7 linked regions of the Callithrix jacchus genome follow. The protein of the gene in region 6 interacts with the protein of the main gene of each other region in a pairwise test. Links are inferred from orthologs where the notes say so. Each region holds a gene or a part of one and is shown on either strand. Other genes may lie near its edges. The genes, in order: AGR3, OIP5, SSC5D, FABP3, KRT20, NUP62 and CCDC121.

Region 1 (4,282 bases), on a different chromosome or scaffold from region 6:
TTGTATAACTAAAAGAGAGATAGATCAGGACACACAAAGCCTGCTTCTGAATTGCCATGTAGTGTTCACACCACCAAGATGAAACACAAATTAGGTTGTGTTTTTTAATGGCTTATAAACAACAAAGTGACTTTTAGCATGCAGAAATATTCTTTCCTTTTGATTCTCCTGTATCTAATAGGTCAAAACATTTTAAATCTATACCAAGATAAGATTAGACATGAACAAATATTCCTTAAAATAGAAATCAGAGGAAAAATAGAATGAATATGGAGGATTCTCGTCCTTCAGTTCCTTTGTTGATTTTACCTTTCTCATGCTTCAGCAATTACTCAGACTTTTGCCTGTCATTTATAACACAGCTCTTTATAAAAATCAAGTGCTGTCTATTACTATAAATTAGACACATGTACAGAGAAGAGTAGATGTGCCATGATTACATTCTCTCTTGGTTAACTAGAATTCAAACTGGTTCTTAACTCACTGTGCTGTTAAGATAAAAACTAAAGTCCAAAGTTGGGTCTGATCTGGTCATAAACCACCTGATAAATATATTACAGGAAGTCTTTAATACTTGTGAGATGTTTAGTTACAGCATTAGCATATAAAACTCATTTGAAAATGGTTGGCACATGCAGTTTTGAAACTTTACCTCAAAATATAAAATAAATGTACAGATATTCTTCACATTTATTTAAGTTCCCTTAAGATATCTTTCCGATTGACTTATATTATTTAGTAGTGAATTCCTCACCAAAACAGTGAAATTCCTTAGCTAAAATGGCTAGTGAATGATTCTTTAGTGATTCTTTTCAAACAAAGATGTTGCTATAGTTTATTGTAGTAGGCATTGTGGAAAATGGAAAGATGTATAAGACACAATGTTTTGGCATTGGTAAAACATTTGGCAGTTGTACTACCCTAGTCATTTTAAAATAGCAACTGTAGTCATGGAAGAGAACAACAATTTGGTGGTAAAGAAGTTTATAGATTCTAGGTTTCTCCAGACATTTCTTCATTCCTCCCATTCTACTATTTCCCTTTCCCAGTGGTGTATATATTACAGCTCCTCTGTGGACTGAAAATAGTTACCACTCCAGGTTAACCTTACTTTATTTCTCTCCCTAATCCCTAGTAAACCCTCCCTCCCTCCCTCCGTCCCTTCCTCTCTCTCTCTTTTTTTTTTTTTTTGATGGAGTTTCGCTATTGTTGCCCAGGCTGGAGTGCAACAGTGAGATCCCCGCTCACTGCACCTCTGCCTCCAGCCTTCAAGCAATTCTTCTGCCTTAGCCTCCCAAGTAGCTGGATCTTCAGACACCCGCTACCACACCTGGATAATTTTTGTATTTTTAGTAGAGTCTGGGTTTCACCATGTTGGCCAGGCTGATCTCAAACTCTTGACCTCAAATGATTGCTCCTGGCCTGCCTGCTTGTGACCCCTCCCCACCCCCTGCATTAAAAAACCCTGTTAAACAATTACCATGGTGCCTGATAAGGACTTCCATTTAAGTTCCCACAACTTATTAAACCATAAAACATTTCAGAATGTCATGTTGTACCCTAAGGACTCAGTCATCTTGTAATTTAAAGACTGAAACAAAGAAAGGGTGGATTTTAGTAGAGGTTGGGGACAGTTGACTCTGGAACACGAAGCCCAACAGAGGGTAGGCAGCCTCAGTTAACTTTGAAGTTGCAGTGAAGGAACTGAGGCAACCATCTAAGACAGGATCTTAACCTGGATCCAGCAGGCTTCTAGAGGCCTGTGGATGAGCCACAGAAGGCTCAAAATCCCCGGAAATTGTGCACAAAATCTTCTCTGCCTCTGTTCATTTTCCATGGTAAGAGGGTCCTAAACTTCATTAAAATTCTTCCAGGGATCTTGGATATAAAGAAGAGTTAAGAAAAGTCAATCTGGAGGAAGCATTAGGAAAAATTTCTGTTAGGTACAGAGGCAAGCAGGTGCAATCTGCATTTTAAAAAAGAAAAAGCACTTCATTATTTTTTGCTGTTTTAAAGCTGCCAAGTTTTGAGTTAAGTGGGAACCATTTTTCTTTTTCAAATTTCAAGTATTTGTGTATTCTTGTAAAATACTTTCTAATTAAAAGATAAAAATCTTGGTTTTCTGGTTTTACACTGACAAATTATAAAATAGATATTAAATATATTCTGTGACAAAGCCATACAACTTTTGTAGATTTTGAATAAATAATGCTTTCCTTGGTAAAGTAAAGTGTAAATTGCTGAGGGTCCTTTAGTATCAGTTGCAAGGTTAGGCTACTTGGGGGAACACAGATGAATACGGCATGGTTACAGCCCTACCGCAGCTTAAAGTGCATTTGGGATGCACATAATCATATGTCAAAAATTGTATAAACATTCATCAATTAGCATTTTCTGACGCTGGTATTTTATTTTTCAAAAGTAATTTAACATAAGTAATTGATACTATAACTTCCTGTATTTTAAAATAAAACAAGACTTTAAAGAATATAAACAGGAGCTATTGTTACTTGTAGAATAACTTTGAAAGAGTTGTTTTTGTGGTTGATGTCAATTTATTCTAATAGCATTAATATAAACAGAGATAAAACTATGAAACCAGCAAAGGAAATTGAGTTCGGTAAAAGAAGAAAAATACAAATTCATTTCGCTTACCCCACCCTTTACTGAAAACTTTACTTTTAAATAGCAAAAGGTGATTATTTAAATACAGCAAAGCTTGACCACAGATTAAATAATCTGGAAACTTTGCTTGCTTACCTGACTTGGCCACTGCTCTTGTTGGAAATGTATTCTGGATGTTTCTGGTTAAAAATGGGTGTGGATTTATACACATACACACACACACACACACACACCCCTGACCTACAACCTCACCTGCATAGAAACGGGAGCATAGTTACCTGGAAACAAACTTACAAAAACAGGCTGGTCTGAAAAGCTCTCTACTTCTTTCCAGTTCTCATGCTTCTCACACTAAAAAAGCTCTTCTCTCTCTCTAAATTAAGATTGAATGTCCTCAGAAAATGAGGCCAAATACCATCTTTGTGCTTCTTTCTTTTTTACCTTTTATTTCCCAAGGTAATTTAATGTTTGGCTGAAGTTCAGCACAAAAAAAAAAAAAAAAAAAAAAAAAGAAAAAAGGAAGAAAGAAACCAGAACGAATTTAAGAACTGTGTGCACGCCATTGTTCTTGATGAGAGCACCATGAGGCTTGAAGATCAGATATAAAGCAAATAGAAATTCCTGAGGGTTACTATGTTTACAGGAATACGATTGATAGCTAAAGAGATTGGGTCCTTTTTTTGAGAGAAGGAAATAAAAATTCTATTTTAGAATTGAACACTTTCTTAATTTGATTATTCTTTACAATTTTTCTATAAAACATTTACTGCATGAAAAATTAGAAATGGACAATTAGATATGTTTATATTTATCTAATAGTCATTCTCCAATTAATTAAGAGTAATTATGTAATTACTGTTAAAATAACCTAGGGGAGGGTGTCATCAAATTTGGTCTACCTGTTTTTGTACAGCCCAGGAAATAGGAATGATTTTTACATTTTTAAACAGTTGGGAAAAGAATCAAAAGAATCATATTTTGTGATATGTGAAAGTTATATGAAATTCAATTTCAGTGTCCACAAGTAGAGATTTGGTGATGGTGTGCAGCCATGTGCATCTGCTTACTTGTGTCTGTGGTTACTTTTGCACTGCAGCATCAAAGTCCAGTGCAGTCCAGGACAGTAGATACCAAAATCTGTGCACACTCAAGTCCCATATCTGGCCTGGTGCAACCCACAGATATGAAAACTTGGTCCTCCTCATATGCAGGTTTGGAATCCAGTGAACACAGTATTTTTGGTCCATTTTTGATTGTAGATGCAGAACTTGCCCATATGGAGAACTGTATTTATTTAAAAAAAAATCCTCCTCTAACTGAACCCACACAATTCAAACCCATGTTGTTTACAAGTCAGCTGTGCTTGTGACAGGGACTGTATTGTCTGCAAAACTTAAAATATTTACTAACTATTGTAAATGTTTACAGAAAATTTTTGTTGAACCTTAATCTAGGTTCAACAAAATTTAGTGTTTATAAATTCCCTCCCTCCCTCCTTCCTTCCCTCCTTCCTTCCTTCCCTCCCTCCCTCCCTCCCTCCCTCCCTCCCTCCCTCCCTCCCTCCCTCCCTCCCTCCCTCCCTCCTTCCTTCCTCCCTCCCTCCCTCCCTCCCTCCCTTCCTCTCTCCCTTCTCTGGCTCTTTTTCGTTTCTTCTTTT
Region 2 (4,094 bases), on a different chromosome or scaffold from region 6:
CCTGAACTTAAGGAATTTCCTCTAGCCTGCGGTCCGGTTTTTTCCGAACGAGCTCAGTCTTCCCGCAGAGGGTAGGTCGGACACTGAGTAGCTGAGCTAGGAATACAGGCATGCGTGCCACCATGCCCGGCTAATTTTTGTATTTTTAGTACAGATGGTGTTTCACCATGTTGGCTAGGATGGTCTTGATCTCCTGACCATGTAATCCACCTACCTTGGCCTCCCCAAGGTAGAATAAATCTTAATTTATTCTCTGATCCCATCTAGGTAATGAACATACACTTAAAAAAAATAAAGTTTTCTTGAGCTGTGCCATTTCGTAATCCTCTCCACAAGTTCTATAGCTTATCTTGTTCCACAATACAGAAACCCATGGGACTTTCCAGTTTTTTACAAAGTATCTAAAACTAGCATTGTCTAATAGAAATATAATGTGAGACACATAAGTAATTTTAAATGTTCTATTAGTTTTGCTTTAAAAAATAATCAGGTGAGATTAGTTTTTAAATATTTCACTTAACCCAGTATATAAAAAATGTCCTTTCACCATGTAATCAATATTTTTAAATGATTAATTTTTCTGTACTAAGTCTTTGAAATTCAGCATGTATTCTGCATTCACAGTATATCTCAATGCAGATTTAATAATATATAATAACTACATATGACTAGTGGTTACAGTATAGGACAGCACAGGTCTAGATTCATTAGCTTCTTCTCCAAAAGGACATTCAGTTAAGCTTCTGCTTCTAGCCCCAAAATTTACCCAGTTCCAAGCAGGCCACTGCTCCTTCTTGCTTTGTCCTCTAGGTGGGAAGGGGACGGGGACTGCTGTAGTGATAGGGAGTGTCTTTTATTCAGGAAAAAGAGAGGTAGCTGTGGGTCTAACTCAGTTTGTGAAGTTTGTCCAAGCTGCAGAAATCTTTCTGGTTACTGGACAAAGCAAGTAAGAATTCCTATACTTTAACCCTAACGTTGAATCAAACTGGTCAGAATGAAATAAACTGTCTGTTAAGGCCAAAACTCAAACTTCAGGAGCCTAGTAATATCAAATTCATTGAGTACTGTTATCACTTGTAAATCATAGCAGATGCAGGATGCAAAGCTTACCAGGCAGTATTCAAGTACAAAACATTCTAGTTGCATTTTTCTCCAGTTTCTGGGGTTACTGAAGAATTAGCCCTGGCATTGCTTATTACAAACTAATCATATATGCAAACTTAAATGTTCTAATATCAAACCTGGGCAATATAGTAAGGTCTCTACAAAAAATGTAAAAATCAGCCAGGCTTTGTGGTGTGTGCCTGTAGTCCCAGCTACTCCCGAGGCTGAGGTTGGAGAATAACTTGAGCCAGGAAGGTAGGGGCTGTAGTGAGCTATGATGGCATCACTGCACTCCAGCCTGGGCGACAGACTGAGACCTGGTCTCAAAAAGAAGTATATGTCAGGCCGGGCGCGGTGGCTCAAGCCTGTAATCCCAGCACTTTGGGAGGCCGAGGCGGGTGGATCACGAGGTCAACAGATCGAGACCATCCTGGTCAACATGGTGAAACCCCGTCTCTACTACAAATACGAAAAATTAGCTGGGCATGGTGGCGCATGCCTGTAATCCCAGCTACTCAGGAGGCTGAGGCAGGAGAATTGCCTGAACCCAGGAGGCGGAGGTTGCGGTGAGCCGAGATCGCGCCATTGCACTGCAGCCTGGGTAACAAGAGCGAAACTCCGTCTCAAAAAAAAAAAAAAAAAGAAGTGTATGTCAGTTCCACTCTCTTCAGTCTCATAAAGTCCGAGACTCGAAACCAATATGTAATTTTCAATACGTACCTGCCTTTGAGTGAACCTTCAATGCCAACTAGGAAGGGCGCTTCCAAAACGATGTTATTTGTAACTCCTAAAAAGACAAACATGGGTCAGAACCCAACCTCTCCGGGCCTTGAAACGGAAAAATATCAGGCAGGCGCGGTGGCTCATGCCTGTAATCCCAGCACTTTGGGAGGCCTGAGGCAGGCGGATCACGAGGTCAGGAGTTCGAGACCACCCTGGCCAACATGGTGAAACCCCAGCTCTACTAAAAATACAATAATTAGCCGGACCTGGTGGCAGGTGCCTGTAATCCCAGCTATTCAGGAGGCTGGGGCAGGAGAATCGCTTGAACTTGGGAGGCATAAGTTGCAGTGAGCCGAGATCACGCCACTGCACTCCAGCCTGGCGACAGAGCGAGACTCTTGTCTTAAAAAAAAAAAGGAAAATCTCTCCTATAGACAGACTCATCCTCGCCATAAACATCAGGAGACTCCCCGGCTCCCTGCCCCATCCTCAGGTCACGAAGTTATTGCCTCAAATTTTCATCCCGTTTTCTTCCCCCGGTGGTTCTCCTCCACCGATGGAGAAAGCGGAACAGCCTCTCGGGCTCGTCTCTACCTTTCCCGAATGCCGCATTGCACTCACTGGAGAAGACCACGGCCCCGAGGGATCGCGACAGGTCCCAGGCGAGATGCACCGAATCGGCGAGCACCGCGTGGCACTGTGCGCACTGGAACACAGCGCACCGCTCAGGCTGCAGCCAAGACGGTAGCTGCTGGCCGGTGGCCAGCTCCTCAGCCTCCAGCCCCGCGGGGCCGAGCGGCGAGGACCCGTTCACCACGTGAGTATCCCACTCCATGGAGGTCGTAAAAGAAGCTTCGTCAATCGTCCTCTCAGTGCCATCGCAAAAGTCAACCTGGGGTGGCCTTGCACGCGGCGAAAAACGCCGCCGGGGCTGAGCCGCCATCTTCCTGCAGCCGGCGCCTCCGTTTCGAATACACGCTAGGCCACGCCCCAAGCACAGCTCCTGCGTCCTCATTGGACATCGTGGGCAGCGGGGTCTGCTCTGCGCTGGTTACCTGCACACGCCTTGCAGGCACTTCAGGCACCCGCGCATTCCTGAGATGTGGGAAAAGCGCGCGTCTGATGGGACGGGAAATCAGCCTTTCTATTGGTCAGGGTTAGAAATCCCGCCTTTGGGGCATTTTCAACCAGTGGAAGCGCGGCATTCTTCATTTTTTAAACTGTATGTAAATTTCTGTTTGGTCAAAGCTGGAAGTGGAGCCAGGGATTTCAACTGTTCTACCGGAGTTGTGTGATCCGTCTTCTGAGTATCGCCGGAATTTCGAATCGCGATGGTCGTCCCCTCCCTAGAGGAGCTGGACTCCCTCAAGTACAGCGACCTGCAGAACTTAGCCAAGAGTCTGGGTCTCCGGGCCAACCTGAGGGTATGGTGCTGGCGGTGCAGGCCCCTGGGCGGGATCCGCGGGAATAGCGGCCTTGGGGAGATGTGGTGCGAAGGGATAGAGCGGGAAGCCCGGGGCCGAGGCGGCTGTCCCTGCCCCTCGAGCTGTAGATGTAGTTCACGGTGGTCCCAGTTAGAACTCAGCGAAACGGAAAAAGAACTGTAGTTTTCACCTCATTTTGAGGCTGGCTGCTCTTGGTGTTTTTGCTGGTTTGTTGTTTTGTTTTGTTTTTGAAATTATACCTCTCAGGGCATTGATGACGAAACGCAGGCCCAGAAAGCCCTGTTGTTAATCGTTAGACAGTTAAATACGTAATTGGCTTAGCTGCTAGAAAACTCCCCAACAGTTAGACTTCAGTGATTTGTAATATTGCCGATCATTTCTTGATGCTTTGTTGGTGGACCTGTCAGGGAAAAAAAAACAAAAAACGACTTTTAGAGGACCACCTCCATGGGTGAATTTTTATAACTCAGCGCTGATCTAGTGTAATCATGTACTTATTGATGACTACTGTGGCGATGGTCTCGTTCAAAACCAGTAAGGTCTTTGACTCCAAGGCTGCAAGATGTTTTGGAGAATTGGCCGGGCGCGGTGGCTCGCACCTGTAATCCCAGCACTTTAGGAGGCCGAGGCAGGCGGATCACCTGAGGTCAAGAGTTGGAGACCAGTCTAGTCATTAAAAAATGAACCAGGCGTCGAACGCTGGAGCGGACGTTTAGCCGGGATCATGCAACTGCACTCCAGCCTCAGGGACAGAGCAAGACTCTATTTCTCAAAAAAAAGAAGAAGAAGATTTGGGCATTCAATGTTGGATTGCAGTTTTAT
Region 3 (4,267 bases), about 4.7 Mb from region 6:
CAGCTTCCTGGAGGGGAAAGAGGGAGCTGGGGCTGAGGCCCCAGCCCCAACATACCGGTGCAGACCAGCCCAGCATCCTCGCTGTGGTCACAGTTGCTTCGGCCCCAGGGGCTCCGGGGGCAGTCTCGGAGGGCCTGCTCTCCTCCTCCACACCCCACGTCATCCATCCATACTGGCCCTGTGCCAGGCCCAAATCTGGCACCACCAGGGGCAGCCAGCGCCCCCCCACAGCCCAGCTCCCGGCAGGCCACGGTGGCGTCTCGCAGGTCCCAGCCGTCATCACATACGGTGCCCCAGCGCCCACCATGCCAGACTTCCAGGCGGCCGGCACACCTGTGGGGGCCAGAGACCAGGCGCAGCCGCTCTGTGGGGTGAACAGGGAGGGGACAGGTGGCTGGTGAGAAATGATTCAAACACCCCTCCGTTGGTCTTCACCTGGGAAAACAGGCCTGAGATCTGCCCGCCAGCAGCCGTTAAGGGGAGAGTCCACAACCTCAGTGGGCCAGGACACCTCCCGACAGGGCAGGAAGAGGGGACACCAGGCCTGGCTTTTAAATCCCAGGAGGGACGAGGTAAACACTGGGATCCTTCCAGGACCTCAGCTAAGGAGAGGGCACCCGCAGGTCCTCAGTTCGTCTGGGCCCCAGGCCTCACCGCATCCAGGTTTGGGGTCGGGGGAGCCTTCAGGGAGCTCACCTTGGCGGGGGGCTCCAGTTGTCAGCAGAGGGGCCCGGGTGGACTTGGCCTGCTTGGGCCGGGGGCTTTTCTTCCGGGAGGCGTTCTGGGGGTTCCCAGCTGGGCGAGGGGCTGGGAGGGGAGACAGCCAGGAGTCAGGAACTTCGCTCCTTATGCTTCCTCCCACGTGGGGGCTGGGCCTCCCTCTCTGAGGGTCTGAAGTGACAGAGGACTCCCTGGGCTATGAAGGAGACAGGAGTGGGGGGACAGTCTGTCCCCTGGGAGTTCTTAGTGCAGCCGTCCCTGTCCCTTCAGAGGACATAGGAGGGTGCACTGGGCGGGGGCAGCACGGCAGTCCTCTGGGCTCACCGTGTGTCACCGGGGTCTCCTCTGTGCTGGGGCCCAGCTCCACAGACAGCCCTGGCCAGGGAGCCCCATCGAGGGGAGATGCTGAATCGTCCCTGGAGTTAGCCACGCGCTGACCTGTGGGTGGGAGACAGAAGTGGTGAGGAGAGTAGGGTCAGAGGTCAGTTGGTCCCTGGCAGAGGGAGTGAGACACCTGGCTCTGGAGGGGATGGGAGGCTGGGTGTCTCTGGACTGCTGCACACTCAGACTCGCTGAGGCTCAGGACTTGGGGTCCCTGGGTCATCTCCAAAGGAACTGCCCCTGAAGGAGCAGCCAGGGTGCCCTCACCTGCGCAGACGACGCCCGCGTCCTCCTCGTGGGAGCAGATGTGGGCCTTCCAGCCCCGGTGGTGGCAGAGGCCCAGCTGCCCCTCGTAGCCCCGGCAAGCCAGCTCGCTGAGCCACACGGGCCCTGCCCCCTCCCCAAAGAAGGCGCCCCCAGGGGCGGCCAATGCCCCTCCGCAGCCCAGCTGCCGGCAGGCCACGGCGGCGTCACGCAGGTCCCAGCCGTCGTCGCACACGGTGCCCCAGCGCCCTCCATGCCAGACCTCCAGGCGGCCAGCGCACCCATGGGGGCCGTCGGCCAGGCGTAGCCGATCTGAGGGGTGGAGGAATGGCTGTGGAGAGGAGGGGCATCCCTGGGGCCCTAGGGTCAGGGGGACTGTAGGGGCGGGGCGTGTCCTGCAGGTACTGTCGGTAGCTAGCAGCCCTACTCACTGACCCCTGGGCCAGAACCCCTGGATGCTCAGAGAGATTCACTCAGACACCTGGGGGATCCCAACGGGAGGCAGTGGTGAAGGTCATAGTGGAATTCAGGTGGGGGTGAAGCCAGGCCTAGATGGGCAGAAGGGGGAGGCCTGGCACTGGGAGGGGGGGCAGGTGGGAGGATTCTGGGGCACTTACCAACAGCCTGGATCCCCACCAGTGCCGCTGTAAGGGAGGGTGGAGAGTGGGGCAAAGTGAGGGGCAGGCCGGGGATGTTCCTTTCTCTAGCACAGGCCCCTCATCTTGAATACCCCAACACACACACACACACACACACACACACACTCTCTCTCTCTCTCTCTCTCTCTCTCTCTCTCTCTCTCTCTCTCTCTCTCTCTCTCTCTCTCTCTCTCTCTCTCTCTCTCTCTCTCTCTCTCCTGAACCAGGAACCCCATGGCTGGGAGGCAGGACTCTGGACAGAGGGCCTGGATGAGACTTGGGTCTCTCAGGCTGGTGGGTGGGGCTGCAGCTGCCTGGCCCCTGAATCAGGGCTAGGAACCATGGCTTTGGTGTTCCCACATGGTCTTAGCTAAAGGTCAGATGTCTGGGAGATCCCCTGCGGGGTCAGGGCTGGGGTAGGGCAGGGGGCAGATCCCTTGGGTTTCTGGGCTGGCAGAAGGCTGGACTGAGCAGGCAGGGAGCCTCAGAAGGGATGTCAGGGTACCCCAAGCACCAGGGACCAGTCCCGGAAGTTTGAGTCCTTAAACTGGATAAGCTAAGAGGTCAGAGCTGGGGGCCTAGGCCCTCTGAGTCCCCAAGGAGAAGGGATCACTCACCAAGGAGGCAGGCCAAGACCCTCATGTTTGCAGCCAGGACAGGGGATGGGGTGAAAGGGGAAGGAGAACGGGAGAGGAGAGGAGGAGGCAGCTGGGGAGAGGGGGAGGGAGGGAGCGCCTGCCGGAGGCGCCCAGGCCCGAGGAGGAGCAGGCAGGGCTGGACGCTTTGCCAGGAAGAAGAAAGAGGCTGCAGGGAGGCGGCAGGGGACAGGGCGGGCTAGAGGGGGCTGGCCGGCGGCTGAGGCATTGGGGGAGGGGGGTGGCGGGCGGGAGGGAGGGTGTCCAACTGCAGACACCCACACGGGAGAAGATGACGGCCAAGCAGGCTCCAGCCAGCGAAGCACTGCGCTGAGATGCTTAGGGGGTGGCCGGCTGCAGGAAGGCGAAGGGCAGGGATTGTGTGTCGGGGGCCAGTGTGAGCGGGAGAGGGCGCCCACCTGCTGCCTCCTCTCATCTGGTCAGGGAAATACGGTGAGACCACTGCTCGGGTTGGGGGCTGGGCAGACCTGGGACTCTTGGTGCTGCAGCAAGCTTTGCAGCCAGACACCAGGAGGGACTTCCCGGATGAGGAAGAGACTGAAAAACCCGACCCTCCAGTCCTGCCCCTCACTGGTGGATCTGAATGTGAAGCCCCCTGTCCCCAGCTGAGGGAGGAGAGGTTGAACTTCACTATCCCAGAGGGAGCTGGGGTAGGGAGATAAGCAGCCCAAGGTCAAGGCTTGTGAGGGGGAAGGGCTACACACACACACACACCCCACTCCCTTCACACCAGGCAGCTGTGAGGCGGAAAAAATTTGGTAATGGGGAGTGTGACTCAGAAGGGCTGGCAGGGCCCAGGGCTGCCCCTGAGCTCACAGTCTCCTGTTCTCCCAGTCCAGCACCGCCCCCCCAACAATTAATGTCAACTGGGGAAAGGAGGGGCCAGACCGAAGTGGGCGGGGATGTCCGGAGACAGTCTGGAAAAGGCATCAGAGATGAGACAGGCACACAGCGGTTTCAGGCTTTATTAGCAAATGGTGTAGAAAACCAGACGGGTCTGGAGGGAGAGCCAGAGCTGCCGTCTCAGCTCTACACCTTTCCAGAGAGGGGCCAGGCCTGGCAGCCCTGTGCACTTCCACCCCTAAGCAGTCCACCTGGTCCCCTCCAAGGACAGGCATCTAACCCACTCCGGGTCCAGGGAGGCGGAGTCACAAATCCTAACTCTGGGGCATATTCTGCTCGGCCTCCTCTCCCCCTCCCCAGATAGCTCTCCCAGGCCTGTGGCACAGACAGCACTGGCTTTGCAGACACATCGACCAAGGAGATTTCTCAGTGCAGACGGAGCTGAGGTAGGGGTTGGAGAGGCTGACCTCGAGACCAGGGAGGGAAAGGAGTCATTCCACTCTGAGAAGCTCAAACACTGCAGACTTCACACTGCCGGCTGGTGGGCGGAGGCCAGGCTCCTCCCCTCAGCAGGCCTCTGCTTCTGGGCCCTGGGTGGATGAGGACACACCGAGGGAGTGGATGTACAAGTACCTGCACACAGTAGGTGCTCATCAGGGGCTGGTGCCCCTCCCTCCTTCCCTGCCCTGGCTGGCGGTCTGTAGCTTCACAGGTCTTTGCTGAACTCCCTCACCAGTGTGTAGCCTAGGCAGCCCCAGCCGCCCT
Region 4 (4,300 bases), on a different chromosome or scaffold from region 6:
GAGTTAGATACAAAGGAAGTATTTGTCCTCTTGCACAGATTGAGGAGGGTCTAAAGCGGTAGCAACAATGAATTAGACTCTGCTGGGCATGGTGGCTCATGCCTGTAATCCCAGCACTTTGGGAGGCCAAGGTAGATGGATCGCCTGAGGTTGGGAGTTTGAGACCAGCCTGACCAACATGGAGAAACCCATCTCTACTAAAAATACAAAATTAGCCAGGCGTGGTGGCGCACGCCTGTAATCCCAACTACTCGGGAGGCTGAGGCAGGAGAATCACTTGAACCCAAGAGGCAGAGGTTGCAGTGAGCTGAGATCATGCCATTGCACTCCAGCCTGGGCAACCAGAGTGAAACTCCATCTCAAAACCAAAACAAAACAAAACAGTGAGTGAGATTCAAACCCAAGTCTCCTGACTCCTAGTCTAAGGCTCTACAGAGACTATCTTCCTGACCCAAGCATGGCTTCCTTGGGTACGAGGCAAGTCCTACGTGTCCTGCAAGCAAGTAAAGAACAAAGAACTAATCATGACTGCCCCTTCTCCCCCCAGCAGCTTATGCTGAGCTGTCCTCCAAGGCAATGGTGAGGCAGGAGGCAGTCCAGTGTAGTGAAGTGGTGTGTATAGTCTCCAAATGTGCCTGGCTGCATAGTGCTTACTGGAGCTAGGTACTCTGCACATGCCCTACATGAGTTGTACTTAATGCTTGTAACAGCCCTGAAGCTTAGATTATCCCCAATTTACAATAGAGAGTGAAGTGTCTCCTCGAAATTCAAACGGAGTAAACTACTGACGGATTTGAATCTAGGCTCCAAAACGGCTCACTGTTTCCACTAGGCCATTCTGCCCAGCACATACTCAATCCAGGCCACCAGTTGTGCCGGTGGTCACTGGTACTAGATGGGACCTCTTTGCCCCTTGAGAGCCCTAGGTCTACAGCAGGAGGGGCAGGGGCTATGCTGTCAGCCTACCCTTGCCTGGCCAGTGAGGAACTTGGCCTTGCCCCTTGGTGTCAGGAAGTCAGGCCAATGACACTCCCATGCACAGAGCAGGACTGTTTGCTTAGGACCTACCCAGAGGTATAGAGTGTCTGAAGAGGAAACCACTGTGGGATAAGTGAGGGTCTGAACCAAGAGAAATTAAGAATATTGAGCTGACAGAATTTAGGAGACTCAGAGATCTGGGTTCTACTTAGAAATGAAGCCAGTGCTATTTACTGAGAGCTGAGGAGGGTCTTTTCCCAGGCTTCCTGTTCCTATGAAAAAGCAGGCTGCCTTAGCATAAGCTGCTGAAAAATAACAGGTCTTTAGGGAGATCGCTCCCCACCCACCCAACTTGGGGCGGAATAAGGGAACAACAGTGGTAAAGTTGTTTCAGCTCAGTCCAGGGACTCGACTCTGGCCTAGCTTTGGAAGGAGGAACTAAGTCTGGGCATTCCAACTTCCCAATAGCTGCTGGGGTGTGTTAGTGGGGGTTGGGGGGCTGTTCCTCTAAGAATGACTGCCTACCTGGAATTACTGGGCATAGCGCCCAGGGTAGACTAGGGGCCGTTAAGAGCTTTGACCTCTCCATCAGACCAAAGCAGTAGAAGAAGGGCTGAGGTCAATCATTAGCTAAGCAGTTCCTACTTTGCTTCCCACTCCCAGGGCCTATAGGGTAGTGGAAAGAGCTCTGGGTAACAGATCTAGAAACCTTAGGTTTTCATATCAGCTCTGCTGTGGAATTGTTATAATACATTTCTACTCTCCTGGTTTCAATTTCCCTGTTGAACCAGACGGTATGGGAATCTCCAAGTTCCTCACCTGTAAGATTCTTTGAATCCTTTTTCTTAACCATCTCAACACCACAGCAGTTCTTCACAGCCTCCTAAACCAGTCAACCTCCCTCCCAGGTCTTGACCTTGCTCTGACACCCTCTACTGCACAGTAGAAGTCCAATGGCTTTCTCTGCCTACCCTTTGCACAGGTGGGTGAGCCTTGGGTTGCAGGAAAGGCCCAGCTGATGATGGGCCTCTTGCCCCACCCTACCACGAGGCTCACAGACAGTGATTAAGGCCTGGTTACATATCACCGCAGGACAAGGTCAGACTAGCTTGGGAGAAAGAGCATTTTCAGCAACAATCCCCTTCCCTAATCCAACATGGAGAGATGGGGATTGCTGCTTACTGAAGGTCCCTGTCTTACCTCATCCTCATATCTGATTCACTGATACACGTTTTTTCCCCACCGATCTTCCTCCTAGGTATTTCCTACTTGTTTAAGGTCATAGTACACTCCCTAGCTGCCCCATTCCCTTTCTGGGTTCAGTCTCCTCCAATTTCTAAACTACCCATGCCCCGTTCTTTCTCTTCCTTGACTAGACTCCCCTTCCTGTGATCAGTGTTCTTTATCCAAACCCTCCTCCTACCTCCAAATCATATATCTGTCTTCCTGGAAAGAGCCTCCCACACAGCTGCCTCCTTCCTCCACCTCCCTACCATGGTCTCTAACCAGATTTGGACCATGAAATCCCCTTCCGAACAGGCTCTACCTGCCCTAGCCCAGGCCGCCATTCCGCGTTCCCCTATTCCCCAGTCTTAACCAAGAGGGATGCAGCAGGAGCCCTGCGTGGTGCTAGGGATGCCACCAGCCCCTCCCCAAGCCAGCATCCAGAGCCCCGCGGCTTGCTCACCGAGTGACTTCATGTAGTCATCGAAATTCTTGCTGTCCACTAGCTTCCAGGTGCCCAGGAAAGCGTCCACCATAGTGATGCTGGGCTAGGCTGAGACAAGCTGCGAGAGAGCAGGCGTGCAAAGATTCGGACGGCGGCTCCGTGCCCGGGCTGCTGCTTTAAATAGCCCTCGCATCACATGAGACGTGGCCCACGCCCCCGGCTCCCGAAATAGGAAGCCCCAGGCTAGGGCTCACCCAGGAGGGGCTGGTCCGCCATCCCCCAACCCGCCGAGGTGGGAGGGGACCAGTCAGTGGCGCCCTGCTTGCCTGCGTCAGCGCCAGTGCCTGGCCCCCTAGTCTCTACCCCAGGCTGGCAGGACCATCTCCCTTTCCTGGCCTCTAGGCACTCTGGAATCCGAGAAGGAAGCAGCCGGCACCGGCCGGAGAGCTGGGGCGCATGCCATGGATATCTTCCGTAGCCCAGTCCCTCTTTGAGCTTGGGGTCAGAGCAGAGATGAGACTAGAAAAGGAAAACTCGACCTTGGGCTGGTGCCCACGCCGGGAAAAACTCTGGTTGACTTCTGGCGCAGGCATCCGTCCTCGTTTTACAAGTGAGGAGCCCGCGGCTCAGCGGGGAACTGGCAAGGTCTCAAGAAATAGCGGGTGAATGGATCTTCAGATTGCAAGCTTAGCCTAGCAAGGCCGCGCTGTCCCTTCACTCCCACTGCCTGGTGGCGGAAACAATTACCAGGGGCTCCGTTTGCGGCTGAGCTGACCTTGTCTTCTGCCTGTTTTGTGCGAAAGCCTGACCTTTCGCATCTGCGCCCGCCTGCTCACACGTGCTTGCCCCTCCCTGCAGAATGTTTCATGCTGGCCCTCCTCCCGCCCCGCCCCACCCCACCCCACCCCACCCCATCCTACCATCCAACTCCCCACCCGCCCCTGCAAGTGCTTCGGGCTTTTCCAGTCTATCCGCACAGCTCCAAGTTTTAGCTCAGTTCCTTCCCAGCTCACCCTCCTTCAGAAATTCTGCCAATTCGGTCAGCTCTTCAAGGCCCACTGCTGCCTTCCCCACCTGCTGCCTTCCCTGACCTGTTCACACTAGCAAGTCTCTGCACTTTGGGTACTTTGCTGCCTCCTTTCCAGAGCCTGTTGTGCAGTGGTTTGACACTGTATAGTTCACTAAGCACTTTGAGTGGATGTAAGACCTGCCTTGTATTGATATTTATTGCATGCTGAGGGCTTTAGGTATATTGTTTCATTGGAATTTTCATTTTTTTATTATTTTTTAGAGACAAGGTCTCTCAATGTGTCTCCCAGCCTGGAGTACTGTGATGCCATCACAGCTCACTGCAGCCTCAAACTCCAGGGCTCAAGGGATCCTCCCACCTTAGCTTCCCAAGAAGCTGGGACTGTAGGCACACACCACCAAGCCTGGCCTCATTGAACTTTTAAAACAAAATCCATGAAATAGGTGTTACTATATTATCTTGTCTTTTTAAATAGATGAACAAGCTGAAGCTCTGAGTTCACTTATTAATTCAGCAGTTATTAAAGTACCTACTTTGTACCAGGCCCTGCTTTGAAGAGAGACAACAGGGAACGAAACACATACTCACCTCTGGGCAGCCAAACACAAAACTAATGTGACTTT
Region 5 (3,500 bases), on a different chromosome or scaffold from region 6:
GACACAAAAATTAACTGGGCATGGTGGCATGCGCCTGTAATCCCAGCTACTTGGGAGGGTGAGGCAGTAGAATCGCTTGAACCCAGGAGGTGGAGATTGCAGTGAGCCGAGATCACACCACTGCACTCCAGCTTGGGCGACAGAGCAAGACTCTGTGTCAAAAAAAAAGAAAAGGCATTTGCCAGCTTCATCTGCATTTTATTAGCCAAAGTCACATGACCCAGCCAGCTGTCAATGGATTAAAGGAGTCTAATCCTGCAATTGAGAAATGCCACAGATCACATGGCCAAGTCTGATGAAGGAATGAGAGGTAAAACATCTTCACATGGTGGGGAAAGCAAATATTGAGAACAAACTACAATGTCCCTCACTGAGAGAACAGTGGGTGCAAAGCTACAAGCAAAGAAAAACCCCAAGAGCTAATGATCCTAGCTGGCTGGCTGAGGTTGCCTAGTTGGGAAGAGTGGGAGATGGAGCTAGAAATACACACCATGCCCACAGTGACGAGCTGCAGAAACCCTTCTGAAAAGAAATGAAAATTGACCCATCTCTTGAATCAAGTCCTTAGATAAGAAATGCCCTATTTTTCTTGTGCTCATAGAAAGAGTCTTTGGAGCATACCCTAGAGGAGACCAAAGCGCATTACAGCATCCAGTTAGCCAACCTCCAGTTGCTGTTGAGCTCTCTGGAAGCCCAACTGATGCAGATTCGGAGTGACACAGAACGCCAGAACAACGAATACCATATCCTTCTTGACATAAAGACTCGGCTTGAGCAGGAAATTGCTACCTACCGCCGCCTTCTGGAAGGAGGAGATGTAAAGTAAGGCTCTTAGAATCAAGAAATAGGTGTCAATGTCTGTATGTACTCCTATTTTAATGTCGCTGTCACTCATTACCCAGCACCAATGCAATCCCCAGGACAGAAGCAATTATACTCACACACCTCACCAACAACAACAAAACAAAAGTATACCGAAAAGTACACACACACCCAGACTATCAAATACAGCCTTGAGATCATGTGGCAGGACTGAGTTAGAAGATAATTCTCCAAATGACAGAGGTTATGCTGATACTAATTTTTATCATTAATATATAATTGAAAGCACAATAACTTTTTGGTAATTCAAATTGAGAGCTCATGAATTAGACAATAAGCTGCCGAGGTCTATGGGAGTCACTTTGGGAATCAATGTGGCGGCAGCAACTGTCTTCAGATACCATACCTCAGAATATCAACAAGAGAACACAAGATTTGAACTTCCATTGTATTTTTGTTATTTTAATTAGAGGAACTCCTCAGTATATAATAAACTGGTCAGTTTTAAAGCTATTTATTTTTCAAGTTTAAAACACTCAAGTTTGCAATGACAAGGAATGTAAAGGTAAATAAATATGAAAGCACATTCACTTGGATTTTACTTTGAAATATGAAAGGAGTGCATTCCATTTTCAGAACAGCAATAACGCTTTTTTTCTGTTTATTTTTTCTTCTTTCAAATTAAAAAAAAAAAAAAAACAGAACTACGGAGTATCAGTTAAGCATCCAGAAAGAGAAAGGTAAGTTCTAAATTTTTTCACATTTTCTATGACACTCAGCTGCTTTCTATTGACTACCTGCCACTGATAAAAAAGTAAAGTAAGGCTGTTTTAGTCTGTTTTCTGATGCTGTAACAGAATACCTGGGACTGGATAATTTACAAACAGTAGAAGGTTACTTGGCTCACAGTTCTGGAGGCCAGAAAGCCCATTATCAAGGTGCCATCATCTGGTGAGGCACATTAATCCATCCACAAGGACAGAGTCTTCATTATCTAATCAACTCTTACTAGGCCCCACCTCCCAACACTGTTACACTGGGGATCGAGTTTTCTACACATGAACTCTAGGGAACACATTCAAACCATAGCAGAGGCCAATTCTCAAGAGAGCAAATATGACACCAGGATTCTAAAATTCTTGTACATGGTGTAAAGAAACCCCCATGTGGGAACTTGGGCACATTCTTCAGAACGGGGTGATTTTCTTGGCCCGTGCTATTGTTATCTTGAGACATCCTGAGATCCTGAAAAGGAAAAATAAGACAAAATTTGAATTCCTCTTAAATTCAAGATCATTTATTTCTGTTTAGGGGTAGGAAGAGTAGGATATTTTTAAATTTGGGGAGAAGCACATTTTCTACATCTCTTTATAAAATGGACTTAAGAGTATTTGATAAAGAGGATGGCTTTAGCATGTTCTTCTCAAAGAAGGAAATAAGTAAAAAGAATAATAAAGTTGGATATTATAAATCAGCAAAGTCATGTGCCTGAATTAACATTTAATGTTTAATATGAATTCAGATACAAAGAAAACCAGGAAGATTAAGACAGTCGTGCAAGAAGTAGTGGATGGGAAGGTTGTGTCATCTGAAGTCAGAGAAGTGGAAGAAAATATCTAAACAGCTACCAGAAGAAGATGCTGCAGAGGTTCTGAAAGAAATTTGGCTATAATCGTATCTTTGCTCCCTGGAAGAAAGCACTATTAATACTTTGCAATGATTCAAAGGGGTGGGGTGGGGGGAAATCCTATTTATCAAACTCTGTAATTGAATATAAATGTTTTACTCAGAGGAGCTGCAAATTGCCTGCAAAAATGAAATCTAATGCACAGTAGAATATTTAAAACATCTTTACTGCTATCTTTATCATGAACCACATCAATCACAAGCTACAGACCACCTAACATCAATTTGTACGTAATGTTCCTGAAAATTGAAGCACGTTTCAATTATACTAAACCTCACAAAGTTTAGTATAATTTTTTGCAAGTTTATACTAAACTTTGTAAATTGCAAATAAAACTCTTCCTAATTTTTTCCTGTTTCTGAATTGTAAAACCCCCTTTGGGAGTCCCTGGTTTTTTACTGAGCCAATTTCTTGGTTAATCTCACTGAATTTTCAGCACCAGTACAACTCTACAACCTTCGAGCTATATCTGCTTTCCCATTGTTTCTACTGCCTTTCAAAACTCAACACAGCTCTTTGAATAATTTGAGAGTCAAATTCAATCACAAATGCTAAGCAGAATAAGAGTGAAGTATACTATACTTAAAATGGAAATAGATTAAAAACATTACTGAAACCCTTCTCAATGCAAAATGTGTCTCCTTTTGATAATAAACTACATATACTATCAGGTGCTCTGTTTATGTGGTGAACATACATTTTTAATGAAATGTCTCCCATTTTTTTTAATAACATCTGCACTGAGATATAATTCACACACCATGAAATTCACCCTTACAATATGTACAACTCAGTGGTCTTTGGTATGCTTATAATGTTTTGCAACCATCACCAATATCTAATTTTGAACATTTCATCACTCCAAAAGGAAATCTTGTAGCTATTAGCAGTTACCCCCATTTCCCTTCCTCCCAGCCCCTAACAACCACTAATCTACTTCCTCTATGGATTTGACTACTCTGGACATTTCATATAAATGGAATCACACAAT
Region 6 (4,075 bases):
TCGGCAGGGGTGGGGGGTGGGTATGGCACAAGCGTGCCTTCTTACCACTGCCAGTCGGTCCAACAGTCTACCCTTAATTCCATCTGCATTTGCTCAAAAACCTGTACTGAGAAGTGGAAGGAAGTTGGTCCCGAAATCTCCTTTGTAAATTGGATGACCAGTCATAGTTTGAAAGCACTTACTGCACAGGAACAGAAAGAGAACACATCCACCTTAATTACAGCAATACAGTAACCAGCTTTTACGCAGCACCTACTGTGTACCAGGCAGTCTTTAAACCTCGTAACAGCCTTAAGAGGTAGGAAATGTTTTTGAGACAGGGTGTCACTCTGTCCTGAAGGTTGGAGTCTGGTGGCCCAATCTCGGCTCACTGCAACCTCTGCCCCTCCCCAGGGTTCAAGTGATCTTCCTGCCTTAGCCTCCCGAGTAGCTGGGACCACAGGCGCAAAATACCACACCCAGCCATTTTTTTATATTTCTGGTAGAGATGGGGTTTCACCAAGTTACCGAGGCTGGTCAATTTCTGACCTCAAGCAATCTGCCCAGAATGCTGGGATTACAGGTGTGAGCCACTGCACCTGGTCCAGCAGCAGGCACTCTTAATGCCACTTTGTACTAAAGGGGAAACTGAGGCACAGGGAAGGGAAATGACTAGGGCCGCACAGCTAATAAGTGGGGTGCAGTTAGGTTTTGAACTCATATAATCTGGCTCCAGAGTCTACGCCAGGGATGGATACTCTTTTGGCTTCCTGGGCCCACACTAAAATTGTCTTGGGCCACACATAAAATACACTAACAATAGCTGATGAGCAACAGATAAATAAATACAACTGCAAAAAAATCTGCATAATGTTTTAAGAACGTTCTGGGCTACATGTGGACCCCCGGATGGGACAAGCTTAGTCTGTGCTCTGAGCTGCTAGGTTACATACTGCATAGGTGATAACACAGCCCCTCAGCCAAAGGAAATACAGGACAAGTGCTCAGAAACTGGGAGAGTGGACAGTAAGTGCTCCAAGAGAAGGTGGTCAGATCCCGAGAAGGACTTCCTGCCTGCCACAGGGAAGGGAGGACAAAGAAGTTTGTGTGTAACGCTCAATACCAGGGTTCCTACACCTTCTCTGGACCCTGATTCACTCTCTTAACTGCCACAGAAGAGATGAAGGTTGAACTCCAGCTGGGATGTCCTGATGTGGATTGGACAAGGTGGCTTTCTGCAACAGAGAAAAGACCAACATCCACTTCAGCTGGCGGAGGGCCCAGTGCAGGAGAAGGGGCAAGATGGCTACCCTGTCTTTGACTAAAGGAAAACGGAGATCTTCCATTTTTGGCAGGCTTGGGAGACAGCTCCTATCCAGTGGAGGCTAAGAAAGCCTGTCTGAAAGGAAGCCAAGGCAAGGGATGGAGAAAAGAACGAAGCTGGGGCCTCGATGCATGAATCCCTGCCAGGGGATGGGGCCTGGGCACCCATCCTTTGGAATGGGAGGTGAGGACGGCTGGAAGTGGACACTTTGGAGGAATGAGGGAGACAGAAGAATGACCCACCAGCAGGTGTTGGACAGTCCAACGCCTGCGGCTCTTGCAAGCAGGGAGGAAGAAGTGAGACTGGGCCCCAGAGTATCTATTAATAATAAAATATGGCTGCGCACGGTACTTCACGCTTGTAGCCCCAGCACTTTGGGAGGCCGAGGCAGGTGGATCACAAGGTCAAGAGATAGAGACCATCCTGGGCAACCTGGTGAAACCCCGTCTCTATTAAAAACACAAAAATTAGCCCGGAGTGGTGGCTCGTGCCTGCAGTCTCAGCTACTCGATAGGCTGAGGGCAGAAGAATCACCTGAACCTTAAAGGGGGAGGCTGCAGTGAGCCGAGACTGTGCCACTGCACTCCAGCCTGGGTGACAAAGCGACACTCTTTTCTCAAAAAAAAAAAAAAAAAAAATGTTGAACAGGAATGTATGAGTTGAACTCTGGGCATAAAGCTTGGCGGACACATTGTCTTGAGTCTCATAAATCCGCTACGAGAGTTGATTTTCTTATTTTGCAGACAGGGAAACGAGGTGAGGGAACTTATTTGCCCGAGGCCACCCTGGCAGGTCTGCGTTGCGGAGGGGGCTGTGACTCATGCTGGACTCTAACCCACGAGGGTTCTAAGGGTCAGCAGTTGGGGGATGGAGATGAAAAGTGTGGCTGGCAGGAAATTCTGGAAGCAGGGAAAGGGAAATTAATCGGTGCGAGTCTGCGGGAAGGGAATGAAGCAGGCCCAGACCTCAGAGGCAGAAAGAGAAACCAGAGCCTAGAGTCAGGAGGAAAAACCAGACCTCGGAGCCACAAGCAGGAGAGGGCCCGATCCTGTGAGTGGGAAGCAGGGAGTCGGATCCTCTGATCCCCACGAGGAGGGGACCGGGCTGCCTCCCGCTTGGGGCCGCGCGAGGGCGGGGCGCGGAAGGATCCGGGAGGGCCGTACTGCGCCACCCCGGGTATATCTATCCCCAGTCCCCGGGGCCGCCTCATTCCCCGACCTCAGTTCACAGTCTTCTCACTAAGCGTCGCCTCCTCCGCCCGCGTAGCCCCGGCCATGGCTCTGTAGCCGCGACCCCTTTGTGCCCCCAGCCCGTCTCCGCGCCTGCGCTCTCCGTCCCACCTTCTTTCTTCAGCCGAGGCCACCGCTGCCTCTTCCTGCCGCAGCCATGGAGTGAGTAACCGCTCGCCTCTCCTTGTCCAACCGCCTTTCCCGCGCTTTCGCAGCTCGTGGCCCTCTTTAGGAAGCCCTGGGGGTGGGGAACCACGAGCGGAGAATCACGGTCGCGCAGGCGCGGAAGAGGGACGGTGGGCCGAGGGCGCGCGGGTGCGCATGCGCACTGGGCCCGGGGCCGGGTGGGAGAGTTCTAGACTTGGTGTTTGTCAGCCCGCGTGCGGCTGCGGCTGCGCATTCCAGGGAAGGGTGTGCTTTTTTCTAAACGATTCTGTGCGTGCTTGGTTGCTCTTGCGCAGTAGCCCACTAGTGCCCCGTATGAATGAGCGGCGGGTCCTGTGCGGCGTCACACACGCGCATTGATCCCCAGGAGGGCGGCGGTGTAAAAGCAATTGGACCGCTCCGGCGGCGGAGCATGCACTTTGGCCCTCGGGGGCAAAGCCATGTGTAGACGGGGCGTTCGGGTAGCCATTCTCTGCCAATCCCCTCTACCCTCCTCCACCTCTCCGGCTCCACGTTGCTCTGACTCACAGCACAGCTTTCTTTTATTTCAACTAGGCACCTGCTGAGGCGGGGACTCACGTAGATTGACAGGGCAGAAGGCGGGGCTTAGAGGAACCCCTTTAAACGGGTGGAACCAGAACCACGTCGTCACGATGGGTGGGACTTAGGGAGTTCATTATGAGAAGGGGCGGGGCCAAGGCAACCATTAGCTGAGGGATGGGACAAAGAGGCGGGGCCTCTAAGGAATCGGGGGCGGAGCTAAACAATGAGGGGCGGGGCTTGGAGGGGCAGTGGGAAGGCGAGGCGTGGGATTTGAGTGGATAACATTAAAAGGCTGGGATCTGGGACGGTTACCCTGGGAACTGATTTGGGATGGAAACTAGGAAGGCAGTGGGGCCAAAAGGAAATATTTTAGAGGAAGGGGCGTGGCTGGAAGAAAATGTCCCTAGGATTGAGTTTTTCTATGAAGCGAAATATTCTGAGGTGGATGGGAGGGGCCTAAGGTAATTCCCCCGGGACACCCTTAGGTTCCGTATTGGGGGAAGAGGTGGGGCATCGGTCCTATAAAGCGAGTTCCTTGGTGGTGTGTGGGGCTCAGAGATTTGGGGAAAGAAAGGACAAATTTAGTATTCGGAGAGGGCGAGGCTTAGTCCTAAACCCTGGTTTGAAGGGGGAGGAAGGAACCCCATGGACGTACCTGGGGCTGTGGCTTGGCTTCCCTATGAATTTTGGCTGGTGGGCGAGGCTGTTCCTGACCCCACCCACTCTTGTCTCACGCGTGTAGGTCTTCCACTTTCGCCTTGGTGCCCGTCTTCGCCCAGCTGAGCAACCTCCAGAACCTCGTCCCAGTTGCTGCTGCAGCGTCTCCTGTTGCCAT
Region 7 (4,200 bases), on a different chromosome or scaffold from region 6:
ATACTTCATGTACTAGAAAGTACACCTGTAAGTAACAGCTGATGTAATGTACGTCTCCTTTATCTTCTCTTCCCTTCTCAATTTACTTAAAGCTAAACTTGGAGGGCTTAGCATCAGATGAAAAGTCACTCTGCCTAGCACTTACTGGACTTGCTGTTACCAGAATACTTTTTCACTTATGAGAAAACTATAGAAGGAGCTTCCTGGTCACTGGCACAAACGTACAAAGAGTTTGTAAGAACTGCTTTTGTCTGCTAAGTCCGTCAAACGGAATGAGAATAAACTGATATTGGTTATTTACTGAGCAGAATGCTATTCAAAGTCTATTTGGAATGCTATCCCAAAAGGTACTGTCTCATAAAGAAACCTAATTTAGCTGGATAAAATAAATCGCAACTGTTTTCACTTCCTTAGGTTGCCTTTTTTTTTTTTTAATTTTTATCCAGGAAGATACCGCATTTAGGTTGGTTTTTGTTGGCTGGTTTGATGTATGGTAAATGGCTAGCTTAGGGTCATGTTTTAGGTTAACCAGAGGTTTGTGGAATATCTTGTTTATTAACAATAGTATTTAAAGAAAAAGCTAGCTAAGGAAAGCTGGTTACCAAATACCTAGTAGGACTGTAGGATAAAAGCATCTAATCCTTTACACCAACACATGATGATGATTTTAAAATAGAATCAGGAATTCAAAAGCCTTCCTAACCAGGTTAATGTAGCACTTTAACAGTACTTGCTCCAGTTCTTATTTAATCAGTGTTATTTTAGGAATTACTCTGGATTAATCTTTGATTTGGTGGCTTGGGGAAGACTGGGTGTGGTCTTTGGGGCATCCTGTCTGTTTAGGCACTGATTATGCTTTCCTAGCAGTCTCTGCCTCACTCTGATTAAGCTCTCCACATAACACTGTTCCTGCTGCAGCTGCTGCTTCCGGTTTTTTAAGTGGCTTTCAGTGGCCGTTAGTTTCTGGGATTGCTCAGTTAGCTGCAGTAATTCCTTCCGTGACTGCTGGTTCTCTCTTTTGATGCCACAGGCGTATTCAAAAAGAGACTGCTTTGCTGTCAACTCCAAGGCCCCGGCCTTCATATTAAGCTCTCTTCTTTTTCTCTTTCCCAGTAGCCTCTTGCTTGTATCCCTCAGTCGTTTCTCCAGTAATCTTTTCTCCTGGAGGAGCTGGGCCTGTACTTCCCGTTTCTTTGCCTCTGTCTCAGCTTGGACTTTCTTTTTCTCCTCCTGTAACGTTTGTATTTCTTTCTCCTGCTTTTCCTTTAACATAGCAATGTCCTTCATTGCCTGCAACTTCTGCTTCAAACTGGATTGGATCTTTTCCTTTTCCAAGAGTTCTGTTTTAAGCACTGACATTTGCTCTGCATATCTGTAGGCTGATTGTTGTCTTCGTCGTTCAATTTCTTCATTTTTTTGTAAATAGCTGTTCCATACCTTCTCGGGTTGCTTTCTGTACTCCTCAGTTTTGTCAGTCAGGTATTCCAGAAATAATCTGTTTTCAGCCTGGACAAGTAACTTTTCATGGTATATCTGCCTGCAGTCTTCCAGCTGCTGGTCCCGCTGGATTTGAGCTTGTTTTATGTGCTTGTTCAGATCGGACATTTTCGCCATTGTCTTTTCTTTAAGGCGTGTCTCCACCTTTGTTAACTTCTCTTGCTTTAAAAGATTGTTTATTACAGTAAGATATGGTGTAAAGGACCTTCTGGGGCCCTTAGCAAATCTGAAAGAACAAATGAGACATTCCTCTCTCAGTTCTTAATTAGGAAATAAGTGCACAACTGTCCTTTATTCATACAAGAAAAGATTTCTGAGCACCCATTATGTTCCGTACATTATGCAAGGTGTGAGGAATACAGTTAGTGGTAAAGGATGAAGGATGTCGCTCATCATTTACAACGTGCGTTCACTACAACCCTGGAAGATATTAACTGAGTTTTTAAAAAGGAAAAAACAGGTTCAGAGAGTTTAAGTGACTTGCCCATGACTCACACCACTAGCAAGTGGCAGTGCCTGTATATGAAACCCAGACCTTATGACTTAACGCTGTTAGCAGCTACAAAGGGCCACAGAAACAGATTGGGAGGTCGGGAGTAGAAATAATTTTCTAGGCTCTTTCATCATCTTTCCTGAGTTTGTGAGAACCCTTCAGTGAGAAGGAAGCTCCTCTCCAGTACCTACTCGTACCTGGAATCCAAGCCTTCATCCTTAAGGTCATGGCAACTGTGTAGTTCACTGAGGACGACTGCTTTGAAGTGAGCGCTAGCATCAGGAACTTGTGCCTGCGAATCGCGGGAACAATGTGCAAGTGCGGGAAGTTCCCGTGGTTTATCCGTGCGGTGCTCAAAGGGTCTCGGCGCTGCCCAGTAACCCTGGAGGCCGCACCCTGCTCCAGTCCCGGCTGGTCCGGCCCTCAAAGGTTTAACCTCCTTGGCTACCGAATAAACCCCAGCAGTTGGTCCTCCAGTGGTTCCGGCCCCCGCTCTTAGCTGGTACGACGTGAGAGGCACTCTCCTCGTTTTCCTGCTGTGTGAGCCCTGCCCTTGGGACCCCATCTCTTCTTGCCCTCCTCCTGGGGACAAGGGTATACCCCTCCTAGGCTATGGAGGTCAGCGCCCTTTTCCTAGCTCCCTACAGCCTTCCCCTCGTTTGCTCAGCGACACCACTTCCTCTCCTCTGTCACTAGTTGGCCCCTTAGCCCTGCCGGACGCTAAGAACATGCCGCTGACACCGCCGCGCCCATTCGCCCGCTCCTTTCTGACGCCTCGGTTCTGTCTTCATTCGCAGCCCAGAACGTCGCGGAAGTTCCTCTAGCCACGCAGTGTCTCTATGGTCGGGTGGGCGGGGCGAGGAGGAAGATGGCGGCGCCCGCAGCTGCAGCTGAGCCCCAGGCTTCTGGGGGTCCGCGGCCCCCAGTGTGTCTGTTGGTGTTGGGAATGGCGGGATCCGGGAAAACCACCTTTGTACAGGTGATGTACACAGCGTGGGTGTAGTAGGGAAGCGGGAAAGGTTGCCTCCGGCAGGCGGAAGGCCAGGAAGAAAGCTAGGGCGGTCTCCGAGGAGTTGGAGGGTACCGGCGCGTGGCTTTCGCGGACTTCCCATCAACTTTAGTTCTTTCCCCGGCAAAGCCTCCTCGGGCCCTAGCCAGGTTAATTAAGGCTTTCTTCTAGGGCACCTTCAGTGCATACTCTGTCCAGGTTACCGCGTTGTACAGGAATTGTCTTGCTGGTAAAATTGCCAGTTTCTCGAAGGCAGGGGCTTACAAGTAACTTTAGAGATTAATACAGTGCTAGCACACAGGTTTTTGGTGAAGATTTGCCAAAGAATTATTTTTTGCACGCCTGTCATGTTTCATTCATTGGGGATATAGTCAAAATGAGGTTGACAAGATTTATTTATGGGACTAAATATTTAATGGCGGAGATGGAGAAAACCCACATACGAAAAATCAAAACAAGTAAACAAGTGACTATGAGTAGGGGAAGCTTTGTTAGATGGGTGATGAAAAAGGGTAGCATTTGAACTAGAAGCTGCAGCTTAGAGGTGGACATAGTGGGTGGATATTTCAGGTAGAAGAAAATCTTAAGTGCAAAACTCTTAAGGCATGGGTGGTAAAGGAATGGAAGTTTTTTCCTGCCCCCTCTTTGTCTTCTTCCAACCCTCTCCCCATATCTCTGCAGAGGCTCACAGGACACCTGCATACCGAAGGCACTCCACCTTATGTGATCAACCTGGATCCAGCAGTACATGAAGTTCCCTTTCCTGCCAATATTGGTGAGTAAACTGGTAACATAACTTGTGTGAAGTGCTTTAAAGAGAGTGGAAAGACTCAAGCCTGCCAGTCTTCAGTGCCTTCTTTTTTCATGTGGTTTTTTTTTTTTGAGACGGAGTTTCACTCTTGTTACCCAGGCTGGAGTGCAATGGCGCCATCTTGGCTCACGCAACCTCCGCCTCCTGGGTTCAGGCAATTCTCCTGCCTCAGCCTCCCGAGTAGCTGGGATTACAGGCATGCGCCACCATGCCCAGCTAATTTTTTGTATTTTTAGTAGAGACAGTGTTTCACCATGTTGACCAGGATGGTCTCGATCTCTTGACCTCGTGATCCACCCGCCTCGGCCTTCCAAAGTGCTGGGATTACAGGCTTGAGCCACCGCACCCGGCCTTCATGTTTTTTTTTTTTTTTTCTAAACTATCTACTTT

The links.
Region 1: the proteins of NUP62 (region 6) and AGR3 interact in binary tests that used the Homo sapiens proteins (3 or more experiments, as listed by UniProt). The two-hybrid records come from large-scale screens. The link is inferred for Callithrix jacchus from reciprocal best matches to the Homo sapiens genes NUP62 and AGR3.
Region 2: the proteins of NUP62 (region 6) and OIP5 interact in binary tests that used the Homo sapiens proteins (3 or more experiments, as listed by UniProt). The two-hybrid records come from large-scale screens. The link is inferred for Callithrix jacchus from reciprocal best matches to the Homo sapiens genes NUP62 and OIP5.
Region 3: the proteins of NUP62 (region 6) and SSC5D interact in binary tests that used the Homo sapiens proteins (3 or more experiments, as listed by UniProt). The two-hybrid records come from large-scale screens. The link is inferred for Callithrix jacchus from reciprocal best matches to the Homo sapiens genes NUP62 and SSC5D.
Region 4: the proteins of NUP62 (region 6) and FABP3 interact in binary tests that used the Homo sapiens proteins (3 or more experiments, as listed by UniProt). The two-hybrid records come from large-scale screens. The link is inferred for Callithrix jacchus from reciprocal best matches to the Homo sapiens genes NUP62 and FABP3.
Region 5: the proteins of NUP62 (region 6) and KRT20 interact in binary tests that used the Homo sapiens proteins (3 or more experiments, as listed by UniProt). The two-hybrid records come from large-scale screens. The link is inferred for Callithrix jacchus from reciprocal best matches to the Homo sapiens genes NUP62 and KRT20.
Region 7: the proteins of NUP62 (region 6) and CCDC121 interact in binary tests that used the Homo sapiens proteins (3 or more experiments, as listed by UniProt). The two-hybrid records come from large-scale screens. The link is inferred for Callithrix jacchus from reciprocal best matches to the Homo sapiens genes NUP62 and CCDC121.

Annotation. Positions count from the first base shown.
Region 1 is NC_133512.1:41,575,786-41,580,067, reverse strand, and holds the start of AGR3 (anterior gradient protein 3), read right to left. Parts: upstream 2,801-4,282; 5' UTR 2,761-2,800; intron 1-2,760. UniProt on the Homo sapiens protein: Required for calcium-mediated regulation of ciliary beat frequency and mucociliary clearance in the airway. Might be involved in the regulation of intracellular calcium in tracheal epithelial cells.
Region 2 is NC_133509.1:45,267,117-45,271,210, reverse strand, and holds the start of OIP5 (protein Mis18-beta), read right to left. Parts: upstream 2,801-4,094; 5' UTR 2,771-2,800; coding exon 2,422-2,770; intron 1,892-2,421; coding exon 1,825-1,891; intron 1-1,824. Other genes in the region: NUSAP1 (nucleolar and spindle-associated protein 1), read left to right, coding at 3,159-3,251. UniProt on the Homo sapiens protein: Required for recruitment of CENPA to centromeres and normal chromosome segregation during mitosis.
Region 3 is NC_133523.1:48,354,402-48,358,668, reverse strand, and holds the start of SSC5D (soluble scavenger receptor cysteine-rich domain-containing protein SSC5D), read right to left. Parts: upstream 2,801-4,267; 5' UTR 2,646-2,800; coding exon 2,621-2,645; intron 2,010-2,620; coding exon 1,983-2,009; intron 1,678-1,982; coding exon 1,369-1,677; intron 1,159-1,368; coding exon 1,045-1,158; intron 808-1,044; coding exon 697-807; intron 365-696; coding exon 56-364; intron 1-55. Other genes in the region: NAT14 (putative N-acetyltransferase 14), read right to left, coding at 4,209-4,267.
Region 4 is NC_133508.1:68,013,363-68,017,662, forward strand, and holds the start of FABP3 (fatty acid-binding protein, heart), read right to left. Parts: upstream 2,801-4,300; 5' UTR 2,739-2,800; coding exon 2,666-2,738; exon of another isoform or gene 1-2,665. UniProt on the Homo sapiens protein: FABPs are thought to play a role in the intracellular transport of long-chain fatty acids and their acyl-CoA esters.
Region 5 is NC_133506.1:92,394,973-92,398,472, forward strand, and holds the end of KRT20 (keratin, type I cytoskeletal 20), read left to right. Parts: exon of another isoform or gene 1-601; coding exon 602-822; exon of another isoform or gene 823-1,524; coding exon 1,525-1,562; exon of another isoform or gene 1,563-1,887; coding exon of another isoform or gene 1,888-2,067; intron 2,068-2,344; coding exon 2,345-2,442; 3' UTR 2,443-3,181; downstream 3,182-3,500. Other genes in the region: uncharacterized protein LOC103793320, read right to left, coding at 1,888-2,067. UniProt on the Homo sapiens protein: Plays a significant role in maintaining keratin filament organization in intestinal epithelia. When phosphorylated, plays a role in the secretion of mucin in the small intestine.
Region 6 is NC_133523.1:43,702,823-43,706,897, forward strand, and holds the start of NUP62 (nuclear pore glycoprotein p62), read right to left. Parts: upstream 2,801-4,075; 5' UTR 2,644-2,800; exon of another isoform or gene 2,512-2,643; intron 2,354-2,511; exon of another isoform or gene 2,162-2,353; intron 1,215-2,161; 5' UTR 1,147-1,214; exon of another isoform or gene 1,103-1,146; intron 182-1,102; exon of another isoform or gene 46-181; intron 1-45. UniProt on the Homo sapiens protein: Essential component of the nuclear pore complex. The N-terminal is probably involved in nucleocytoplasmic transport.
Region 7 is NC_133515.1:87,415,552-87,419,751, reverse strand, and holds CCDC121 (coiled-coil domain-containing protein 121), read right to left. Parts: upstream 2,801-4,200; 5' UTR 2,556-2,800; coding exon 2,188-2,555; intron 1,724-2,187; coding exon 769-1,723; 3' UTR 420-768; downstream 1-419. Other genes in the region: GPN1 (GPN-loop GTPase 1), read left to right, coding at 2,859-2,969, 3,681-3,774.